3 linked regions of the Oreochromis niloticus genome follow. The protein of the gene in region 1 purifies or fractionates together with the protein of each later gene. This does not show direct contact. Links are inferred from orthologs where the notes say so. Each region holds a gene or a part of one and is shown in the gene's direction. Other genes may lie near its edges.

Region 1 (8,014 bases):
TTGATACGATTATAGAACATAAAGTTTCCCCTGTCTGAGCTGTGTGGGTTGAAAACTTCCAGGATTAAAGTTTCAGTAGTGTCTAATAGTTCAAATACTAAGACTACTACTACTAGCCCTAAAATGCCTGAGAACCCGTGATTTTTAGTACACAATCACATTAATACCAAATGATCAGTCCTAGTAAACTGCTTGTGCAGATTTATTTTTGTCAGGGCAGGACAACACAAAACATCTGTTGACGAGAGGGATAAACGAAGATGTTCTATTTTGACAAGATTAAAAAATTGAGCCTCTGTGTGACAGTCTTTGCACATTTAATGGAGGTATGACAAGCAGTTAGGTGTGTTAAAATACTAAGAACAACCCAAAAGGCGCTTTATTTGATTATTTCTATCAATTCATTCAGAAATGCAAGAGAGGTGTAACAACTTATTTCTACCACTAACTAGTAGATAAATTGTTTTAAGCCCAGCTTTACAAAGTAAAGGAGCTAGCGAATTATATACGATGGACCAAACCACTTTGCGGGATATTACGGGGAATCAAAACAATTATTTAACTTGTATAGTTATTTTTACAGTGATGCTTTTAACCGAAAACTTAATATCTCAGAAAAAATAAGTAAAAGTGGTATCTGGACCCTCTTGTTCACTCATGGCTGTACTGGGTGGTGCGTTTAAATGTTTCTAACACTGAGTCACGTCTGGAAAAAAAGATCAGAGTGAGACGTCTTTGCTGCTGTTCCGGTTCAGGTGTGACTAAGATGAAGTGACCCACCTGGCCAGGTAAGGTATTGGCAGCTCTTTCGGCTCTCCCTCTGCTGGCGAGTGACGCTGTTGTCCATTCACACAGATCTGAGAAGACCCGGCAAAGTTCCTCTCAGTTCAGGAAACAACTAGAATTCTTCACCAATTAAGCCGAATTTTAAGGCTCCTCGGGCATGGATAAATTAAAATCGGTTCTGAGCGGTGAGGAGGCGCGCAGAGATGACCGGAACATTATACAGGTAAAGCCCTAATCCCATCTTTCACTCTTGTGGCTATTAATCTCAGCTGGATCATTAATCGATCGTTTATTCAATTTCTACTAATGCAGCAAGTGAACCAAGCTTCGACTTTAGGCTGGGGCACACGTATAAAGGGATTCATCGCCTGCTTCGTGGTGGGAGCCGCATGCACAGTTCTGGTAAGAATTTAATTTCTGTGGGGGGTTTTTGTTTTGTTTTTTTTTCTACGACAATATTCAGTCGCTCTCCACAACGAGGAAGAGCTCAGAGAAAGCTGGTGTTGCCCTACTGGTTCTTCTTGCTCTGAGGAATGCTGAAGATGTGATGCTCATTCATTTGGCGACACTGCCTAGTCCCTCCTTAAAGTGAGGCTTATAAAACATGACGTGTGATCCACCTGCATTCACGTGTCTTGCAGGGAGTGTGTGCGCTCTTCCTCCCCAAGATTGGGATCACTCTCTTTATTGTCTTTTACACGTTTGGCAACATATGTGCTCTGTGCAGGTTAGTGATGGAAAAAATTCCTTGAAATGGGAAGTTTATTTTGCATGTTTTACACACTTAATATATGCTTTTCTTTCTTGCACATTTCACTGTGTCCGATAGCACAATGTTTTTGATGGGCCCAATGAAGCAGCTGAAAAGGATGTGTGACAAAACAAGAGCGCTGGCTACTACAATTATGTTGGTAAGTGCAAAAAAAAAAAAAAATATCAACCCCCAAAAGACAGAACATGTTACACAAACATGAGTGGACTGAGTTCAGTAAATTTAGATTCATTGCAAAAAATCTGTTTTCTTTAAGAGTTCAAGAGCTGGTTAAAGGTGAAAGGATTGCATAACACAGCTTTCTGCTTAGAGGATTGCATGACAACACCAAGCTAGAGTTCAGAAAACTTGGTTGTGGATGGACTGACAAAAATCAGACGCTGATGTGCATACGTATCTCTTTAAAACTACAAGATTTGTTGTGATGGAAGATTTGCTCTCAGAATGTCCCACAGCAGGTGCAATTAGGTTACCACCCTCTTTCTTTCAGTGCAAGGCTCAGTGTGCAAATATTTAAACTGCATGTAGGTAAATAATTAAATCAGACACTAATTTGACACCTGTGTTGTAGATCGGAAGATTTTCTCAGCTTTAATATGGTTATGAGCATGGCCATGTCACCTACCTACGTCATGCCCAAGCATCATACTTTGCAGTTCTGGCATATACAACTGGAAGCAAGGGTATTATAGTTAACTAACAGGCCCTAAGAGATGTTAGTGCAAGTGAGGGAGGTCATCACTGGGCTGAAACAAAACATCAGATAGAAACCAAAAACTATAGGAATAGCCAAATGAGCAAACTGGTAGAGTCATAAAAAGAAGGAATGCACTGAGTTGCTCAGCAAAACCAAAAAGCCTAAAAGAAGACCACAGAAAATATAAGACAGACGAAACCAGGATGACCTTCTACCAGAATGAATGGAAAGGAAAAGAAGGAGAGAAACTGCTCATGATTTGAAGTGAACCACATCATCTGTGAAACATGATGGAGGCAATGTTATTGCATGGGCATGTATGGCTGCTAGTGCAACTTGGTTACTGGTGTTTATTGATCATGTGACTGTTGATAGAAGTTGCGGGATGACCTGTGAAGTGTACATGGGTATAAACTGACCAGACTGCACTTCACAGTGCAAATGGACCGAAAGCAAACTGCACACTAACCCAACAGTTTCTCAGGCAAAGAAATGAGAAAACCAATAGAGCATGCTTTTCAGTTATGAACTATATAACTGAATGCAGAAAGACTCACAAACTAGGAGTAGATAAAGGCAGCAGAAGTAAAGGTCTAGCAGAGCAAGACATTTGGTAATATCCATGGTTTCTAGACTTTAAGCAGTCAAGGATTTTTATCAAAGTATTAAACAATCCTTATATTTACAACTATGTTAGTTTGTCCAGTTAATGTGAAAGCCTGAAAATGAGGGGCTGTGTACAAAAATGGCTGTACTTCAAAAACAGTTTGCGCAGACTTTTGTTAAAACCCTTCAAATTAAAGCTAAAAGTCTCTCTGTCATTGCTTTAGACTTGCCTTGTTCTGACTCTCTGTGCGGCTTTCTGGGTGAGTGAGCCTCCAAAAAATACTTATGATCACTTCTAACTTGATCTGTGTATTTGCTGGAATAAATTTCAGCGTTTGATCTCAATATCTGTCTTTTTCTCACAGTGGAAGAACTTTGGACTTGCTTTGTTGTTTGTTATCTTGCAAGTCTTGTCATTTACCTGGTGAGTCTCTACTTCATATTTAATTAATTTTTTTCAGTCTTAAATTTTTTTGGTTACATAAAATGTGTGTGTTTTCAGGTACAGCTTGTCATACATCCCATGTGTGAGGTTTGTAGATTTTGCTCCATTTATTCAAATCTTCTATGTAAATATTTAGAAAAAAAGTGGTTTTCAAAGCCTAAATGTCTGGTTTATGTTCTTTACCTTCCAGGGAAGCAATCATGAGGATGCTGGCCATGTTCATCAAATAGGCCATGTGTGTTTGGGGTGAAGGTTCAGCTTGGATGAAGTGTTGAAGAATGGGGCAGGTCTCTTACTGAAGTTACTAAAATTGGCTCCCTTAGAGAGTCTCTGACCCTTCCTGCTGCTCAGGCATCTGTTTATAGGTGAAAAAGAAGCAAATTTTCTATTTATTTTTCTCAGTTGTGCTTCATTGATTGATCTGATTAATTTTTGGTGAGCACTCAAATTTAACCAGTTTATGATGATTGTAGACTTTGTTTGTAATATTTGTAAATATCTGTAATAAATCAAAATTTTAAACTTTTTACATTTATTGTTGTTGGTTTTGTTTTTCATCTTGCTCAGAGACAAAATCTATTTTTATTAAAAGTTCTTATGATCTTAAATTGTGTTGGTATTTGAATATGAAGCTCAAATAGTTAATCAGTACTTAAATTATGTCATCACGATACTACACAAGGGTATGAACAGAACTTTTTCTTAATGCAGGTGTGTTAGATTGTTGGTCCTGTTAATATTATAATATGCAAAATGCATTTTTTTTTAATGGTGAATTTTTAGTTATCTGGAATTATCTCTCATTTAGTACAAGTTTATATTTTTGGTTCTTGTTTCTATTTTCAAAAATAAACTGTCAGAAAATCTGTTTCACATTAAAACCCAAAGCACTTATCTATTTGTGGACCTTTTAGGACTTTTTCTTATTATTTTGTTTCTAAGGAGCCTTTTTTTTGTAATTTTAAAGTCTTTTCGTTGGACATTGGCCTCCTTTTCGTTCATTTTCAGTCCAGTCCTCGAGCCCTACCATTTAAAGAGGAATGTCTTTTGTTTTCTGAGCTCGTGGGGTAATTCAAGCATAAAAAAGACCCCGGACTTCAGAGATGAACCAGTGTGACTTCTAGCAAACAAAGCACCTTTAAATTGTATTATCAGGCACTTAGTTACTACTGACCTATCACAAAAAGCCAAAGTTTGTAAAATGTGCAAATTCTTAACCGTTTTTAGAATTTAAAAACTGTTTTCCCCTTATATTTTGTAGTTGCATTTGTGTTTGCATATTTTTCCCATTTTCCCAACAAAATATAAAGAAATGAGCGTTGCTCAAGAAAGAAAACAAACTTTTGGCGAAGTTAAAAAACCGCGCGCCTTTCCGTAGCGTCACGTGACCCAGTCAGGAAGCGTAAACTGTATGAAAACAACAGTGGGAACTCGCATGCCTGTACATTTCTGTCATAAAGTCGTCTTTCGTATAAGTTGTAGTCCTGTCGGTCAGCAAACATGTCGGACATTTTGGTGAGAATAAAAAACAGCATCGCGGAGAAAAAGAAGGCGGATGTTGCTCAAAGTGACCTGAAGAAATGGGGATTGAGAGGTAGAAAGGCTATTTTTAACCTGGACGACTGACCTGCAGAGCACATACAAACTTCAGGGTGTCTTCATTCATTCACAGTGACATGGCGTTTACTGTGGATACAAACTAAACGGATTTAGACGCAGATTAATCCACTTTCAGCGCCGTCCTACATATAATTTCCAGGGATTATTTTAAACGTGCTCCAGCGGTGATGATCTGTGTGCTTTCTCCTCACAGGGATACAGCTGAGACCCTACCAGCTGGACGGTGTGCACTGGTTAACTCAGTGCCTGAAGAACCAGCAGGGATGCATCTTAGGAGACGAAATGGGTTTGGGCAAAACCTGCCAGGTATGACATCATCTGTTTACCTGTAATCCAGAGCTGTGGCATGGCTGGACAGTTTTTATATAGGTGGTCAGGCTTGGAGCATCTGTTACACTGGGGGTGGCACAAAAGTTGATTCTAAAAAGTCTAATGGTGTCCTGATCATCATGTATCCCTTCAGACGATCTCTCTGCTGGTGTACATGTCAGGGGCCCTCGGGAAGAAAGGACCATTTTTGGTGCTGAGCCCACTCTCTGTCCTGGAGAACTGGAGGAATGAGTTGGAAAGGTGGAGCTACATTAACCAGTGATTGCATTTCATTTGATAATGTGCTTTTAGCACGGTCTGTAAACCTGTGTGTGCCTTACTTTCAGCTTCGCTCCCTCACTGACGGTCCTGGTTTACAAAGGAGACAAAGAAAGGCGGGCAGAGATCCAGCAGGAGGTGAACTCTCAGGACTTCCATGTTCTTCTCACTACATATGAGGTCTGAGGCTATTTTATCAACATACAAAAATCGTACATCCTACAAAACAGGATAAGGTTTCACCTTTGTTAAAACTGATATATGTTTTTTTTTAACTGTTATTTCCAGCTGTGTCTCAAAGATGCATCATTCTTGAAACGGTGAGTTTGTGCTTATTCTTGTTCTGCATAAACTGCTCTGGAAACAATGTACCGTGAGGAAAATTTAACTGTGGTGTCCTAATACAAGTTTATATAGTTTTAAGCAAGAGGTGACAGAAAAAAAGGACCAGCATCCGTAGAGATGTTGCTTTTAGATCACTCTGTGTCGGCTCTTCTTGTCCCTCACCCAGTAAGATCGGCTTAAACTGCAGTTATCTAGGTTAGCGACCTGTATGCCTGAGATGACCATATTATGCCAGCCACACTACAAAACCAAGACTAGAAAAAACTGTCAAAAACAAAGCTTTTATATTAGTCTGAAGCCTGTGTGTCCGTAGTAATCTACAGAGATTATTAGAGAGGGATCATTCTTTTAAACGTGAGCCATTTTTAATATAAGCAATCCACCTTTGTATCAAATTATATGTGACAGAAGAAAAGGAAGAGAATAATGGTCTATTTAAAAGGTTTGTTCACTGAGAACAAAGTTTTCATGTGCTGATATTTCCCTGATCTCTCCCTCAGATGGAAGTGGAAGGTGCTTGTGGTTGATGAAGCTCACAGGTTGAAGAATCAAAACTCGCTGTTGCACAAAACTTTGACAGAGGTACTGAGCAACACCTGGTTTGTGCAGATTTCTTCATTGGCTTTCCCTTGACCTCTTAAATCAGTTTGTTTGTGTTCTTCTCTTGTAGTTCTCCGTGGGATTCAGAGTCTTGCTGACAGGGACTCCCATTCAGAACAACCTGCAGGAGCTCTACTCCCTGCTGAGCTTCATCCAGCCCAGCATCTTTATACCAGAAGACACAGACAGCTTTGTCAACTCTTACTCCGATGTACAAAGTCAGCCTGCTTTGGGTACGGTACATAATTATAGCATAACAAAGCATAGCTTACATTCAGTGTTATTTCTGAGTCTATGCGTCTCTCCATATCCAAGTAAACGTTTTGAAATATAATGGGTGAGATATTGGTCACAAAAAAGTACAGTACAGTAATGCACTGTAGGAAAGTTAACCATGAATCTTATTCCTTTTATAGCTGCTGAGCTCCAAAGCATCCTGGAGCCCTTCCTGCTCCGTAGAGTCAAATCTCAGGTGGCCGTTGATCTGCCCAAGAAAACCGAGCTGGTGGTTTATCATGGCATGTCCGCTCTGCAGAAGAAATACTACAAAGCTGTTCTGATGAAGGATCTGGGTGAGACTTGGGCACTTGGTGTGCTGTGTCATTTATAAATGCATTTTCTCTGCAGTACTTACTTGCCTCTTACTTACAGCATTAGCAAGAAGGCACCTGGTTCAGAAAGCAGCAGCTCAGCTTCTCACTGATTTTTACAGTTGGCATAACGGCCACTAAATCCTGACTTCTCTCTATCAGTTCTCTCTATTTTAGAGTTGGTTTTAAGGTTTTACTCATCACCTTAAAGTACTTCTGGGTCTGGCCTCCAGCTGTGTAGGAGAAATGTGCTATTTTTTTGTCTGTTCCAAAGTCGATGAATAAACCTGAAGGTGATCAAGGCCCCCCAAGGCACGAATATTCTGAGCTCTTATGGTTGCTTCATAGCTTTTATTATTAGTTTACTAGTTTTACTAGGGATGTTCCTGGCGACTAATTTATTAGTCAACTAAACGAGGAACAAAAATGAGACTAACCAACTTGTCTACAACTAAGAAACACTCGGGTATTAAGTTACATTTGAGAACTGTCAAAAACTCATAACAAAGGCATTTGAAACCATTTATCATGTCACTTCAATAAAAGCCTAGATTAACAGATTTGTTGCGTTTCTTGACAACGACGCGCCATCTGGTGGCAGATGGCTGCATAACATTTAGGACACAATAATTTACCGGCATTGGGCATCAATTAAAATTTTAACAGTTAGATTAGTCTGGCACCGATTAGTGACAGCAGCGATGATTAGTTAGCTTGTGGACACATCCCTAGTATTTACTAATATTACTGACCTTTTGCTTTGCATTTTTGGGTCCTTGTTTCATGTGTCATAACTTTACACTGATTTTGTTGTTGTTTGATTTTGTCTTTTTCCACTTTGTAGACTGTTTTTAAAGGTGCCAAGTGGAAATAATAGTTCTAATAGTATCTGTTTAGGGGCATCAGTCATTTGTAAATTCAATCTGCTTCTAAAACTCTTCTTTCAGAGGCTTTTGGAAATGACC
Region 2 (7,683 bases), on another chromosome or scaffold:
CCCCCAGGTGTTTGAAATTTCTCTGAAGACAGTGGGCGACTCACTCTGGGGGAAGCCAAGGAGCTTCAATCTGGACCGTATTTGTGAGTGAGGAAAACAATGCATGTCCTCTTTTCTACTTTTTAAAACACTTTGATTTTTTTTCACATGATAAATATTGCATAGAAGAATTATTAGTACAATCAGACAATCCCCCGCATGAAAAGTTATTTAAAAAAAACAAGCTGCATGAAGTGCATACGTGTCTCAAGCAGATTAACTATTAAATAAACTTTAAAATGTTTCCCGTGAAAACATATTTTCTTAAAGCTAAAATAAATTTACAGGAAGAGCATTAAGCAATTCTTTTTATCTTTACATTTATAAATAAATATTCAAATTTTATTTATATAGCACCAATTCACAACTACAGTCACCTCAACACACTTTATATTGTAAGGTAAAAGCCCCTGACAATCACACAGCGCCATATTAGTAAGAACTTCATGAGATTGGGAGGGAAAAACTCCGGTTTAACAGGAAGAAGCCTGACTAACTGTTTGGGGGTGAATCAATATCAAGTACAGGAAAAACACAAAAGAAGAAATATGGGATTATTAATTAAACAGTCTTGTTTCTATCACATATGAGTAGACTTGTTCAGTAGTTCGAGCACTAATGGTCGTTGTAAGAGAATTCGTCTTTTTGCTTGTATGATTTTTATGTTTTTAATACACTAAAGTGTCAAAACCATAATGATGGAGATTTTCCTTCTTGGCAGACACCCCTGAAGCTCCTGTCATCAGTGGCATCATGTCAGCCACAGAAGGACAACTGGTCACCCTGAACTGCTCTGTCAACTACCACTGCCCCTCCAGACTGCCTGATCTGCAGTGGAGGTGGGAGCGAGGAGCCCAGAAGAACATAACTGAACCTGGGGAAGTAACGACACTCTACCCAGATCCCCACAGGAAGATTTTACTGGCCTCTTTGACCTTCACTGTAACACACCAGGTGAAGTCCAAGCTCAGGTGTCAGGTCATCTTCCCAGGTCCTAAAACACTATCCACTTTGAAGGACCTACATGTGACGTGTAAGTATAGATTTGACTAGTGTATTTGTGTTTCTTGGGTCAGTAAGCTAAAACCTTTCTTTTTGCCTTTTATGCTCTTAGTTCCTCCGAAAGATGTGAAGATTCAAGTCCAGACCCTGACAGTGAAGGAGGGGGGCAATGCACTGCTGATGTGCTCATGTAAGGCTGACCCTCCAGCAACAGAGTACCACTGGTCCTATAGTCAACATGGCCGCACTGTGCACCTCCATCAGCGAACGCACACAGTCCGGCTGTACAACGTGACTCGAGATATGAGGGTCCAGTGCACAGCTCAGAACCTGATTGGCCGAGGAGAATCTCGGCCCACAACTCTTAATATACAATGTAATTCTACCTCTTCTTGATCTTCTCTGCATCCCATACATACGTGTTGTTAGGTTGCATCCAACTAACCAAACCACAGGATTTGATTTAACCAGGCACTTATTTGGCATCAAATTAACAAGGTTCAAAAAGTATAAAAATGAGCATGATAAAAACAGACGAGGGGGATAATAAAAGGAAAATAAAACAACTACAGGTGCATAATTCAAATCCAACTGACAAGTAAAAACTGAAATCTGAACTTTGAACTCTCCCAGGAGAAAAGCAATTGTTAAGTTTCAGTCGTGTCTGTAGGTTAGTCCATGACTGGAACACAAAAATAAGGGAAAGAAAATAAGCTTTTGTTGTGTGAAGATCTGAGCAAACTGTAGATAGACTGCAGAGCAGCCATTGAGAGCAACAAAAAACAGGTGATTATACATTAACCAGTATGGATTTGAAAATAAAGGGCAAAAAAAAACTGTTTATCATTCAGTGCACTATTATGTGTACTGGATGATAAACAGGACAATTAAATCCCAATGAGTTTGTCTTACACAGAGTTAAATGTGGAGCTTCTGCAGGCATCTACTTGATTTCACTGACCAAACAGTCTGCAATGCCTGTAAAGACACTAATCACAGCCAATAAATAGTGAATGAACTGTTGTTTTTACATATGTCAAGTACTATGTGTGTCAAGTTTCTCATGCAACCCATTCAAAAAATTATAAAATTGCCTTTCAATCCTTAGACCCTGTGTTTTGTGTAGACATATCCTCATAAATATTATTGAGAACCTAATGACAGTATTATCTCTTCCAGATAAGCCAGCCATCATCCAGCTCTCCTCCACCTGTACTGTAGAGGATTCAGAGGTCGTGTGCCAGTGTTTGGTCGACTCCAACCCCAAACCTGCAATCACCTGGAGCGTTAATGGGTCTGTTCCACCTCAAGATTACAACGTGTCTGTAACATCGGAGCCCAGTGTGCTAACGGCTATTCTGAGAGGGCAGATGGAAAAACCTCAGAAGGTGATTTGCTTTGCTTTCAACGCTCTGGGAAACGACTCGCTGGTCTTGCTGCAGGGAGAAGAAGGTGTGTTCAAAGCACTGCTTTTCCATACTAAGAAAGACAACAGCCCTGCCTCTTGTTTATTCACTCTGATGTCTTGCTTGTGCTGAAACTTCTGTGCAGCATGCCTGCAGCTTAAAAACACAAGTAGAAGAAAAGAAGCTGCAAAGAAAACCAAATAATTTTCTTGAGCTATGATTGGAAAATCTGATTTTTCTTGTTTGCACTGAAGTTTGAAGTTGATATAATCCAGTGATGGGATACTATATGCTGATCCTCTGCTGCTCTTGTGGTCCACATACAGAGACAGCATTTTTCCTGTGGTTGATTTTACCTGCTGTCACCGTTGTCCTGGTCATATTCCTCCTGGCCCTTCTTGTCTACTACTGCAAAAAGAGAGCTAGAAAGTATGTACAGAAACACTTCCTGTTAAAAGTTTGCTTGGATTGTGTCACGCCTAATTATCAAGTCTATCGAATACCTGTTCTGCTTCTCTCAGGCACATTCTAAGAAGACATCCCACCATGTACCCTGGAGGATTGGAAATTTATCAGGACAGGATGCCTCTTTATATAAACTGCACAGAAGTGACTCATGTTTACACCAATGGCAGCTACCAGCTTGTGTACCAGAACTGCACGCCTCTTTTTGTCCGCACTAAGCAGGTATTTGATAACCTTGATCTTTCAGTGGACAGTTTGTCCAGAGGAAATACCAAATCATTTCTTCCAGTGACAACAGCTGCTCTCCTTTTTTAGATCCGTCCAATGGGCAGGAGAGGTGGGGAGAGACGAAGACCTGGACCAGGTGGAGGAATTAACCAACAAGCTGGTCAGGAAGTCAGAGGCGTAAGAGAGGTGCAGGGTACAGCTGTGGAAGATGCAGAGACGGGCATCTACCTGGAGATTCTCTAAGCACAAAGCTAAATTACAGTTACATTGTACACTGGATTAATACTGGTTGTTATTCAAATGTTTCTTTAGTTCTCAGGATATTGCATACAGTGCAAATCGATACGTGTATATATATATGTCATTTGCATTTGATAACAATGCACTCTGATCTGTGGTAGGTCTATCTTTCTTCTAGTTTCCAAACTGAACAATTTCTGCCATCGAGTGACAGAGATGTGCTTTGCTCTTCAAAAAAAAGGGAGAGATGAAAAGGTTTGATGAAACAGTTTTCATCATTTTATCTGTGAAGCCCTTGAGGAAAAAAAGAAAACAGACCCTCAAATCTGATGTAGTCTGACCAGACCAGTCAGTTGCATTTCTAAAAGCAGCTGGAGCACAAAAGTGATCCTCAGGAAGCTTTTAAAGTTTCTCTGGAAGGACAAAGAGCTGCTCCAGCTGTGATGAAATGTATAACATTCATTACATCAGCAGTGACTCTGTTGTGTTAAGCATACCTGGAAGTTTTTCTTGTCTTAGAACTTTAATGCCTACTTTATGGCTATTGTTCAACTAATTTCCCATAGTGTTCATCACTTGAGTATATGTATTTCAAGAGTTCAATTGTAAACAACAAAAAGAATAATGCAGAGAATCCTTCCTTTCATGCTCATCTATTTGAAAAGTCAAATTTATTTACATGTTTGATTGTGAACTTTTTTTCTTCACTTTTTTTGTATGCATACTGAATCAGTGCACATTTATTTACACTGGTCTGTACAAACGTTGCCTATATTACATCTTCTAGAGCTTTCTTATCTAATTTTATACAACTGTAATTATGTGTATATTGCTGATTGATGATGCACTCTCAGTTTAAAAACAAAAACCTATTATTGGGCTCTTTTTGTTGCTGGTGTAATGCATAATTTTGGAGATATGGTGTTATCGAACACTGACAGCTGAAAGACTATGAATTCAGAAATCTAATGTACATTCTTCCTGCTCTGAGATCTTAAACTATCTGCTCACGACGTTTAAAAGTGTATATTTTGTCACAAAAGAGATAAACTGCACCAGATTTGAAACGGTTTCAAGAGCAAGTCCTCTGTTTGAATGTCTCTTCACATGGTGACCGACTGGTGGCAATATAAACCTCAGTGACACAACAATTAAATCACAGAAGAAGAAAATAAAGCTCTGATTGGATAGAAAAGTTGTTAGTCGGAAGGTACGTCACATCCTGGCGTTTACAGGCTTTTGGTGGGAAAATGTGTGCACCTTCACGCACATTTAACTCATAATCAAAATCTACAGTATGAATTTTCTGTAACAGCAGAGTAACGGATATATGTCATGCATATAACGCTGTGAACAGTTTACGAGGAACAGCCCTTTAGGTGTGCTAAAATCACCAAAACCATCAAGGAGAGTTGCCTATTGTTTGTTAGCATGCTAACATGTTAGTCAGCCGCTTATCTGACTAATAAGAAATTAAACTTTCAGGATTAAATCACTTCCAGTGGAGAGAAACTGGATGTGTTTTATGACTTGTTAGCCGTTTGCGATCGCTTCGTGGGGAGGCACGCGCCCGTTTGGTTTATGTGAGTGATCAGTGGACTAATCGATCAGCTTTTAGCCTGACGATCATCAGTAACAACAACGATATGCCAGAAATCAAACTCAAGCACGTCGTGTCGTGCAGCACCGAGGACTCTGTAAGTTCAGTATGATGTATTACTTGTGTGAGATTTGTATGAAGAAAGCTGAGCTGTGAGGCTGCTTCATACTCACATATGTTGTGTTACAAAAACAGACACACAAGGCAGACAACCTGCTGAGCTCTGACACGTACAGAAAATGGAAAGCAGCCAGACCCGGGGAGAAGCAGATATCAGTCATTCTGCAGGTTTGTTTGTTTTGTTTTTGTTTTTTGTGTTCAAGTGACAGCAAACTAATTCAATAACATGTGAGTTGTCGTTGACGATATTAGTTAGATGGCACATAACACAAACACTAAACCACACACATGTAACTTTGGGAGAATCATACAATCTAATGAATTTAAACAAACTTTTTATATTTGCTTTCTTTCCACTAAAAGAAGTTTACATACAAATTATAATTATAAAGTGAATTTCAGACCTTGTGTCACCGCCCCTGCGGATAACCTGGTCCACTGTCTCTGCTGCCAATCCCACAATCACGACTGAGAACAGTCTCCTTGAAAAGATCAGTTGGCAAGCTCGCAATCATCTTTCAAATCTCTGTTTTTACTTTTTAAAAGTATTTAAGTGCTCATATGTTATAAAGATGCTTTCTGTACCCTCACCTTCAGTTATGTCTTTGTTGTCCTTCATAATTGTTTTATCACTTTCTCCAAGTAATCATTTATTTTAGCTTTTTTCCAATCTTGCCCTGTGAAGAAGGGAGGGGTGGCAGATGGCTGCTGGAGGTTTGTTCCTGTTAAAAGGGAGTTTTTCCTTCCCACTGTCACTAAAACGCTTGCTCATAGGGGGTCATATGATTGTTGGGTTTTTCTCTGTATGTATTATTGAAGGATCTACCTTACAATGTAAAACACCTTGAGGTGAGGGTTGTTGTGATTTGGCACTGTATGTATCAAATTGAACTGAATTGAAGCGGTTTGTAACTTTGTTTTGAAAGGTGCTATTAAATAAAGTTATTTCTACTGTTATTAGATAATGATGATCAAACATATTTAAAGTTATGATCTAAGTAATCTCTAAGTTGTGCTCTAAGTTGCTCTAAATAATCTGTTTATCTGGTACATCACCAAATAAAATCGTATACAGATAGATCCAGGTACTTTTAACATTTTATTTGTTATCAATCATGTCTTTCTTACCATACAGACAAATTTGGCGATATTTCCATTTATCTCGAAAAAGCTGAATTTGTCTTTATTGTGCAGGGATCAGAGAGCTGAATGCCAGTACCACATGGTTTTAGATTCATTCGGGTAGATTGTGTGTTGATTCTTCTCTCGCTTTACTTTCTGCCTTAGAATAGATTTTTTTTTCAATCTTTATTTAACATCAGCTCTTGAGATTAAGAATCTCTTTTAGAAGTGTGTCCTGTGCTTCCTTGAGAAGTATTACCATGCAACTTTTACTTTTTTCCTCAGTTTGAAAAGGAAGAGCAGGTGCACAGCATTGACATTGGAAATGAAGGTTCAGCTTTCATTGAGGTGTTGGTGGGGAATTCTTCAGCTGTCAGAGATCAGGACTATGAGGTATTCTTACAAAAATATTAAATTAACTTCCTGAATGCTATATTGACTTCATTTCATCCAGTCTGATTTTAATCTCACTGTTTTAGGTTCTCCTGGTTACGTCTTCCTTCATGTCCCCCACGGAGAGCCGCAGTGGCACCAACATGAACCGTGTGCGTTTCTTTGGGCCCAACCAGCTGCAGAAGAGCACAGCTCAGGAGAAGTGGGACAAAGTGAAAATTGTGTGTAGCCAGCCATACAGCAAGGTAAGAGCCTAAGAGTGTTTGACGTGTAATATGACGAGCCCTTTGTAATTAGCAAATGTATCTATGTTTAAGACTGAAGCCGTTTATGGAATGATGACAATGTCTGAATACAGTAGTGGAACGGGACCTGGTGCATAGTGTCAAATGAAAGCAATGTAATTGCAAGCAACAGCGCTGTGTGGTTTTCCAGTTACAGTAACTTTGTTGTGCAATGAAATATAAGCACTGAGATCATCTTTCCAGATCCTTTGTCTCAGGTATCCTGTTGTTGAGGCTGTTTGAAGTTGTAATGGAGTTTGAATTGTGTCTCTTTGATGCAAATATAATGTGAATCTGTCTTTGCTCTTTATAGAATATTGCATATGGGCTTGCCTTTGTTAAGTTTCATTCACCACCTGACAAAAATGATCCTCCTCCAACTTCCTCCCCAGTAAGTACTCCACTGAGACCACAGACACCAATCAGGAAAAACAGTATGACCTCTGACAGGTGACGTGAATAAGACAGATTATCTCTTCATCATGGCAAATGTTAGTGGGTGGGATGTATTAGGGAGCAAGTGAACATTCTGCCCTCAAAGTTGATGTGTTAAACGGAGGAAAAATGAGCAAGTGGGATGTCTGACAAGGTGATGGTACATCTCCTGTGGAGTGTTCCCAGTCTGCAGGGGTCAGTATCTATCAAAAGTTGTCCAAGGAAGGATAAGCGGTGACGGGGTCATCAGTGCACAGACAAGCTACTGTACTTTACCCTTTACAAAGCCTAATATTCTATTATAATATTCCATTTAACTCATAGACAGTAAGAAATATGAACATAGCTT
Region 3 (7,488 bases), on another chromosome or scaffold:
ATGGTAACTGATGCTGAACACCTGAAGCAGAGTGTAACATCAGTGTGGGACTCACTGCTGCTGTGACAGGAAGCAGAGGTCCGCCCCCTCACTGTGGGCTGATCTTTATTTCACAGTTACAGCGATGGCTCCTGCAGGGCCCACCTCTGCAATCACTGCCACATATCAATATGTACCTTTATTTAACTGATAATACTTCAGTATTTTTACATGTAATGGAGTATTCTCTGATGGTATTTCTGCTCCTGCAATAAGCACATTTTACCCCCGTTATTCCATAATGAACACGTCACTTCCTTTCATTGTCCCCGGTAACCGCAAACCTCCGCCCTGACCGGGAACGACACGTGATCCCCGTATGATTTATTCAGGCAGGTGTCGGATGCTGCGGCCTGCAGGAGGAGCAGGAGCAGCCTGCTCCTCATCATCACCTCTTGCAGACGTTCTTTATCATTTCTCGCACATGCGCGCTGGCGTGCCGCACACACAGCAGCAGCCTGCTCCGAGATGCTTACGTGGCCTCGACGTTTCCAGGCTTCAGCACCACCTCGATCTTGTACTTGGAGCCCGTGAGCAGCTTGATGGTCCGGCTCTGGCCGAACCGGGTCCCGTCCACCTTGAAGAAGACCGGGCCGTCGTTGGGCTGGATCCGCAGCGCGATGGAGATGTTGATGATCGGGGGGACGTCGTCCATGGCGCCGAGCTCAGGGAGGGGGAGGCGGACGGGTGAGAGAGATGCTGAGGAAGGACCAGAATCAAGCTGCACGCTCACACGGCTTCCGGTGACAGCTGCTTTCAAAATAAAAGACTGCAGCCGCAAATAGCAAAGCAAATGTCGGGGGCGGGGCTAGGAAAAGTCAATAAATGTCACAGGTGGGCTGTTATTAAAAAATAAGTTCATCTGAAAGTCGGGAAATTTGTAAAAGGTTAAAAACAAAAGAACGACCAGTTTAATGAAGAGCTCTCGAAACTGATTATAAAGACATAAAACAGGTTAGACAGAAAAATACAACACCTGTGCACGCTCAACATGACGTCACAGGCAGGAAATGTGTTCACATTTGTGTCAACACATTTTGAACACAAATGTGTTCAAAATATGTTCACACCTGCCAAACACTGCCCCCTGGTGGCCAAAGCAACATCTTTGTTACCTTTGAGCAAAAACGTTAAAAACAGATAAACACAGCTGATTTAAGTAAACTTGAGTTTGATGTTCCTGCGTGTCGGTAAGCTGCAGGTGTGCATGACTTTATGCTTTTATATTTCTGCTGGTCTGAAATCACAGACTGTCACACTGATTTCTTTGTGAGTCTGTGTGGCGTGCTGCGTGTTTGCTTGATGGGAGAAGCTGTGATGTGTCATTAAAAAGAACCGAGTCAGCACAACCTCACAAAGATGGTTTATTGTATCATCGTCATATTTACACGAACCCAAAACTAAAAGGCTCAAATTTAAAAAAAAAAAAAAAGTTTCACTTTGTTTCTCTGTGATTTTTTTCTATAAAAAAATTAAAAAATATGTACAAAAGTTTGCGTTTCCCGTGAAACACAAACTGCAGGGGGAATATATTAGAGTTAAAAATCAGAAGTGCTCGAGGTGCTTTGATAAAACCGGAACGACGTCATCGATCCAGCTCGGCCTCCAGGATCTCGCCCCAGGTCTCCGCATCCAGCGGCGTCAGCTTCCTGCCGCTCAGCTCGTCCGCCGACCTCACGTGGCTGAACCGTCCAATCAGCCAGTCTTTCTTCACACGGCTGCGGATGTAGTTCCTCACCAGGATCACCTGAGGACAGGAAACGGTCAGAAAACAGTTGTGCTGTTTCTGGGTGACGCTAGTTTTATAAGCTGGACTAAAAGCAGTTTTTAATAATGGCATTAAAATAAATGGCTGCAGCGTGAGACGTCTGACATGTGGACAAGTCTTCACTCCGCTCTGTTTCACAGTCATTACTAACAGTTGTAATGTTATGAGTATATCCAACACTTCAGTGAGAACAGCTGGAACATCTGCTACAGTCACAGGTTCTGCCCTTCAGCAACCTTCCAGCAGAAGCCCAATCAGAAGAAAGCTGATGGCTCTGACAGAGCGGCTTCATTCCATCAAAATAATTCCCAGCTGACTCTGTCATGTTTGCCTAAAAACTATTCCAGGCCAGGGATCCAATTCTTCGGGGAAATTATTCAAAATTTCAGCTCAAACAAAGGGCGAGGTGTTCTTAGACATTTTTCCAACAATATATTTTGAGGGACTTAAAGCTTGAATATGAAAAGGTGGTCTGTCTTCAGCGTGACGTTCCACGGGTGTGACACCGTGGACCAAACCTAACTTTATAGAAAGTGTCTGTGAAAACTGCATCCCAAGTTTGTGATGCTTTTTGGAATATTCAGGATTTAATGTGCATAAATCAACTCAGCTGATATGAAAACCTGGAGATCAAATCTCAGCTCTGACCTGCAAACCTGCTGACACAGGTCACATGACCTTCATCGGCATCAGATCCCTCAGAAAAACATCGATGGAAAAATGTTTAAAACCTCTGACCTTCATCCCTTTTAGATTAATGACAGCAGGACCTGAAATGAGCATAATTCCTGTTTGAAGCGGATCATTAACCTGGAAAAGGTTCAGAAGAATCTGAGATGTTTTCTAAGTTTAATGACATAATATGTTAGGAACCTTCCAGGAGAGGCCGTGTCTCCGGTCGCTGTCGACCTCCCTCTGGCAGATGGCTCGGACCATCAGGCACTGCTTCCTCCACAGCTGCTCGCTCTGCTCGATGATCTGATGCCACAGCCTGCAGGTCCTCGCCGCGCTGCACAGGCTCGTCGCGTCCAGCTCGCCAAAGATCCTCACGGTCATTTCTGTCGGCAGCGTCTCAGCAAAGTTGCGAGGTGGGGCGGTGCCTTCGGCTGCCGTCAGGGCGGGGCTTCCTTCACAGAGAAAAAACACTGGTGGAGTCCTCCCACACACATGCTGCATAATAGAGTCAGACTGAGTGGAAGAGCCTGAGGAAAGAGAGCCGACAACGATGGAGAAATGAGTCATAGATTCCACGTAAAGACCTCAGACTGTTTAACTCACACTGTGGAGGACAAGTTAAGGATGAAGAGAAATCACAGTGAAGCCTGAGATTCTTCATCAAAGCACCGACATGTTTCAAAGTACAGAGGCAGGAAAAGCGAAATAAAATGCAGGTTTAAAAAAAAAAAAAAAAAAAAAAAAATAGAGTAAAATAATTACATCACAAAGACATAAATAAAGAATCGGGGGGGAAGAAAATATCCCGAAACACCCAGAGAGAGACAGAAAGATGAGATGAGAAAAAAGACACAAAATCACTGAAATGAGCGAGAAAAGAAAGAAACGGACCTCAGAGAGAGTAATGACGCAAAGTGCCAGTAAGGAGAAGATCAAGCTGCTAAATAATGAAGGTTTCACACAAAATAAGCAGAAAAGAGCGAAACGTTTTGAAACAAGGACACAAAGGCCTGTGAGATGTAGATGAACCAGAAAGATTCCGTGCAGAGAGGCGTGACGAGAAGGTGAAGGGCTCCCACGTCAAACCGAAAGAGAAACATGAACAGTGGGGTCCCCACGGACCCAGCCTGGAGACGTCACCCAAACACAAACTGCTTCCTGTCTCTGTCTTCAAAGCTCAGCGCGTGATAAATGTCCACGTTATTACTGTCCTGTGTGGCCCTGCAGAGGACTAAGCTCTAGTTTTGGCCGACGCTCTGATTTTTAGTAACAAAACCTGATTTTAATTCTTCAACCCGACGACTCGCCTCCGCCCCTGCTAACAGCTAACAGCTAATAGTTCATGAAAAACTCCACCGGCCGCTTCCGCTTTCAGACCGAACACCGACTTTAACTGGGAAACAGACCGTGCACGTGTCCCGGTGTGTGTGATAAGAACGCGGCAGCGCGCGAGAGAAAACCGGTGTCTTACCTTCCGTGAGGTCTCTGACAGACAGCTCACACGGTTTAAATGTCCTAACGGATGTTTACAAATGTACGCTACGTCATCATATTTTGATTTTTGGCGCATGCGTGCAAGGCATAAACGTCCGTTAATTTAAATTTGAAAACAGCTGAATATATGATTTTCTTAATTTTCTAATTATAAAATTAAACTGTAAAGCATTTCTTACTCTGCCGTGCTACCGAGGTTAGCACAGGTAAGGTTAGTTTTATTTTTTTTAAATGAAGATTAATAAAAGATCAGGGAGATTCTGGGCGGAGTTCGGTGAGTGAGGTCAGAGACTCAGTGCGCACGCTCCGCTCCGTCCCGGAAGTTTTGAACGGTGCTGCTGAACTGAAGTTGTGTCGGCGCTGCTGCTCGGTCCGGTTCCCCTCCACACTCCGAGAAGCTGCTTTTAACCTGAAACCTTTTGAATTGTCGAAGCGTGGCGCTGCTCTCTGTTTTCCTCCACGTTCCTCCAGCGGGGTGCAGCTGCTTCCGTCCGCTCTGCCGAGCCGATGTCTGGCTTCGACCTGGTCCCGGTGGACGGCGGGGATCCGGTCCACCTGCCACCCGGAGAGACGGTGTTGGGCCGGGGCCCGTTACTGGGAGTGAGTCCTCCTCTCCTCTTCAGCCTGGAAACATGACCGCGGATCATTTATAGACTTCTGCTCGTTACAGCTGCACATGATCTTTGATCACGTGATAAATCCAGAGAAGCTTAGCTTCACTTAAAAACATGATTTAAAGCCCATAACTATCAATAACAAAGTGACCAGACGTGATCAGGTGGATCACTGATCTGCTGACGCAGAGAGGGCGGGGCTTCATAAGCTAGCACCTTGAACTTTGACCCTCCTCCGTCCTCCTGCCAGTTCCTTAAAATACAATAGGAGGCAACAGGATGCTGCTCAGGTGTATCCTTTAAAACAGGGGTGGGGAACTCCAAGCCTCGAGGTTTAGAGGTGTCCTTCATCTATTCATTTAAATGCCCTCCAGTTCTCCAGAGGCCTGGTGATGAACTAATCATCTGATCCAGGTGTGTTCACCCAGGGTGAGATCTAAACCCCACCCTTGCTTTATAAGGCTACAACTGGCCACTGTGCAAAAATCTTGAGCCACCCATCATGTCTGTATAATTTGTCGAGGGTGTAAAATTTGACCTCTTCCTGTTTAAAAAACAACTCTCTTGTTTTTCTGTCTTTGTTCTGAGACCTGGTTTGCTTCCCTTCATTCATCATGGCTGAGCTCGAGTCTGTTTGATTTATTTAGAGTAATACTGTAACAGAAACAGCCGGAGACGTCTGTAAACGCTGCCTTGTTTCCCGTCTCAGATCAGTGATAAGCGAGTCTCCAGACACCACGGGCTGCTGGAGAACCTGAGCGGAGAGCTACGCCTCAAAGCCGTACGTTCGTCCTTCCTCCTGTTCCTGAATGTGAAGCAGGCCACAGGTTTAGGTTTAGATTTTGTTTCTTATTACATTAGCTTTATTACATAATCATTTTATTATTCAACATTATTAATAAATATAGAAGTCTGGTTGTTTTCCTTCATGTTTCATATCATAGAAATCTCCCTTTTGCTTTAAATTCAGCCTTGGTTCCTGTTGCTTTGGCAGATTTTTAATTCCATTATTATTGTTATTATTATTATTATTATTAATGTTGTTGTTTGAGTTTCGGTTTAACCTCCTGCTGTTTCGGTCCTCAGACACACCTGAACCCGTGCTTCATTCAGTCGACCCCCACCAATGACCCTCGACCTCTGCAGAAAGGTTCCTGGCACGTCCTCCGTCATGGAGACTTCTTCTCTCTGCTGCCGGGTCGGTTTATCTACGAGGTGGTGTCAGTGGGCGGAGACGAGCGCACGCCAAGGTACTTCTGACGTCTGAAAAACGCTCCTTTCTGTGCTGATGTCGGTCGAGACAAAGACTCGAACCGTCTCGCTGAATAATGAAGGTGGAGGCTGCTCTCAGGTAACGAGAGCTCTTTTATCTGTGCGGGCTGCGCCCTGCGGGGTTAAACACTCGGTCGGAACATTAGGCACAGCGTAGGTTTACGTTTTCTTTTGTCCTGGAGCCGTCGTGCTCTTTGAAGTTGACATCAAAGTTAATGCTGATCAGCTCAGTTAAAATTCACGCTGAGCTTCCAGCTCGCAGCGTTAAGGTCTCACAGAAGTTAACATTTATCTGCATCAGTGTCGCTCCCCACAGGAACAGCCAGATGTTAGAAGAAGAAGAAGAGACACTTGCTGTTCCTCCTGATCCAGCTGTGGATCCACGTCCAGCTGTCAGACTGAACCAGGAGGAGCCGCCGCCGTCAGCAGCTCCGGAGGAAGACGAGGAGGCCGAGAGACCGTTCAAGGTAGGCTGAACTTTTCAGAGACGAGAAACTGCTGGAAGACTCCTCAGGGGGGCGGGGCCTAAGAGTGACATCAGCAAGTGTGAATATTTAATCAAGGAGGCGCTTTTCAGAGTGCAGGGTCAATGTGATGTGACAGAAACATGAAACTTTAGAATAGTTTATTTAAAAAAAAAAAGTTTATAAATGAAGTTATGACACAAACAAACAGATCAACAAGTACAACAAAAAACACACTGACAGAAATCATCATCAGAACAGGAATTATTGTAATAATAAAGGAAACTTTGGTTGACAGCAGATCCTCCCTCGTTCACCAGGGGGCGCCACAGCAGACAGCTTCACATGTTTGACCCCACAGTGGGTGTGTCAGTGGCTCAGTGGATGGCAGCGTGGAAGTGAGCAGCCAATCAGTGAAGTCGTCTCGTTGCGTTTCTTTCAGGGTGACTCGGTGGGATCGGCGAAGGATGATCAGCGAGACGCCGCTCCGTCTGTGACCAGGAGAAGAGTTTTACCTGCATGGATGCTGGTGGCTGTACCTGCTGCAAAGACTCCGTCCTCCACCCCGACAGGTAACAAGACCCGTCCTGTGTTCCCTCTGCCTGTAGGGGGCGCCCTTTCTGATCCTGTCACTTGTTATTTGTTTGAAAATGTCTGTTTAGTTCGGACCTGCCGACCTGCAGCGCCATCACCTGCCACTAAACGAGCAGCTGTCGCACAAGCCACGCCCACAGCAACCTCCTCACCTGAGGAGGCGGAGTTCAGCAGGAAGGAGGAGGAGAGGCCGAGGAAGAAGAAGAGAAAACTGAGTGATGACGAAGAACAACCTGAGGTAAGACCTGTTGAGCAGAGTTTCTGTTTCCAGGTTTAAACTCCGCCTCCTGACCTAAGAGACTAATATGTCCTCTGACTTTCAGGAGGCCGCCGCCCACCATCCGGCTAAACCAAACAGGTCTGAGGACAGCGGCGAGAACGACCGCTTCACCATGAAGGCGGAAGCGGAGGACAAAGCAAACGAGTCTGAGAAAGAGGGCAAGATGTCTGAAAACAACGGGACGTCTAAACGAGCCGAGCCCGCCGGGTCGAACGGAGACGCCGAGTCCAGCCCCGCCCCTTCCAAAGCCCGAGTCAGAACGCCGTGTCCGTACGGGAAGGACTGCTA

The links.
Region 2: the proteins of chd1l (region 1) and xrcc1 purify together in Homo sapiens (affinity purification with mass spectrometry; 3 studies listed by BioGRID and IntAct, counting the BioPlex papers as one, with this or other methods). This does not show direct contact. The link is inferred for Oreochromis niloticus from reciprocal best matches to the Homo sapiens genes CHD1L and XRCC1.
Region 3: the proteins of chd1l (region 1) and aplf purify together in Homo sapiens (affinity purification with mass spectrometry; 4 studies listed by BioGRID and IntAct, counting the BioPlex papers as one, with this or other methods). This does not show direct contact. The link is inferred for Oreochromis niloticus from reciprocal best matches to the Homo sapiens genes CHD1L and APLF.

The regions. Positions count from the first base shown.
Region 1 is NC_031986.2:36,236,276-36,244,289, forward strand, and holds the start of chd1l (chromodomain-helicase-DNA-binding protein 1-like), read left to right. Parts: upstream 1-4,680; 5' UTR 4,681-4,806; coding exon 4,807-4,900; intron 4,901-5,119; coding exon 5,120-5,232; intron 5,233-5,389; coding exon 5,390-5,496; intron 5,497-5,582; coding exon 5,583-5,694; intron 5,695-5,802; coding exon 5,803-5,834; intron 5,835-6,359; coding exon 6,360-6,441; intron 6,442-6,529; coding exon 6,530-6,692; intron 6,693-6,875; coding exon 6,876-7,031; intron 7,032-7,996; coding exon 7,997-8,014. Other genes in the region: sft2d2a (SFT2 domain containing 2a), read left to right, coding at 944-1,009, 1,099-1,188, 1,428-1,513, 1,616-1,697, 3,086-3,121, 3,227-3,285, 3,364-3,393, 3,497-3,536. UniProt on the Homo sapiens protein: ATP-dependent chromatin remodeler that mediates chromatin-remodeling following DNA damage.
Region 2 is NC_031976.2:28,705,677-28,713,359, forward strand, and holds the start of xrcc1 (DNA repair protein XRCC1), read left to right. Parts: upstream 1-4,599; 5' UTR 4,600-5,026; coding exon 5,027-5,077; intron 5,078-5,175; coding exon 5,176-5,268; intron 5,269-6,507; coding exon 6,508-6,615; intron 6,616-6,701; coding exon 6,702-6,860; intron 6,861-7,212; coding exon 7,213-7,290; intron 7,291-7,683. Other genes in the region: myelin-associated glycoprotein, read left to right, coding at 1-83, 761-1,072, 1,154-1,417, 2,221-2,493, 2,774-2,876, 2,969-3,134, 3,228-3,383. UniProt on the Homo sapiens protein: Scaffold protein involved in DNA single-strand break repair by mediating the assembly of DNA break repair protein complexes. Negatively regulates ADP-ribosyltransferase activity of PARP1 during base-excision repair in order to prevent excessive PARP1 activity.
Region 3 is NC_031971.2:41,343,478-41,350,965, forward strand, and holds the start of aplf (aprataxin and PNK-like factor), read left to right. Parts: upstream 1-4,442; 5' UTR 4,443-4,483; coding exon 4,484-4,576; intron 4,577-5,299; coding exon 5,300-5,371; intron 5,372-5,676; coding exon 5,677-5,840; intron 5,841-6,163; coding exon 6,164-6,329; intron 6,330-6,768; coding exon 6,769-6,898; intron 6,899-6,988; coding exon 6,989-7,158; intron 7,159-7,243; coding exon 7,244-7,488. Other genes in the region: cnrip1a (CB1 cannabinoid receptor-interacting protein 1a), read right to left, coding at 516-694; fbxo48 (F-box only protein 48), read right to left, coding at 1,625-1,786, 2,681-2,983. UniProt on the Homo sapiens protein: Histone chaperone involved in single-strand and double-strand DNA break repair.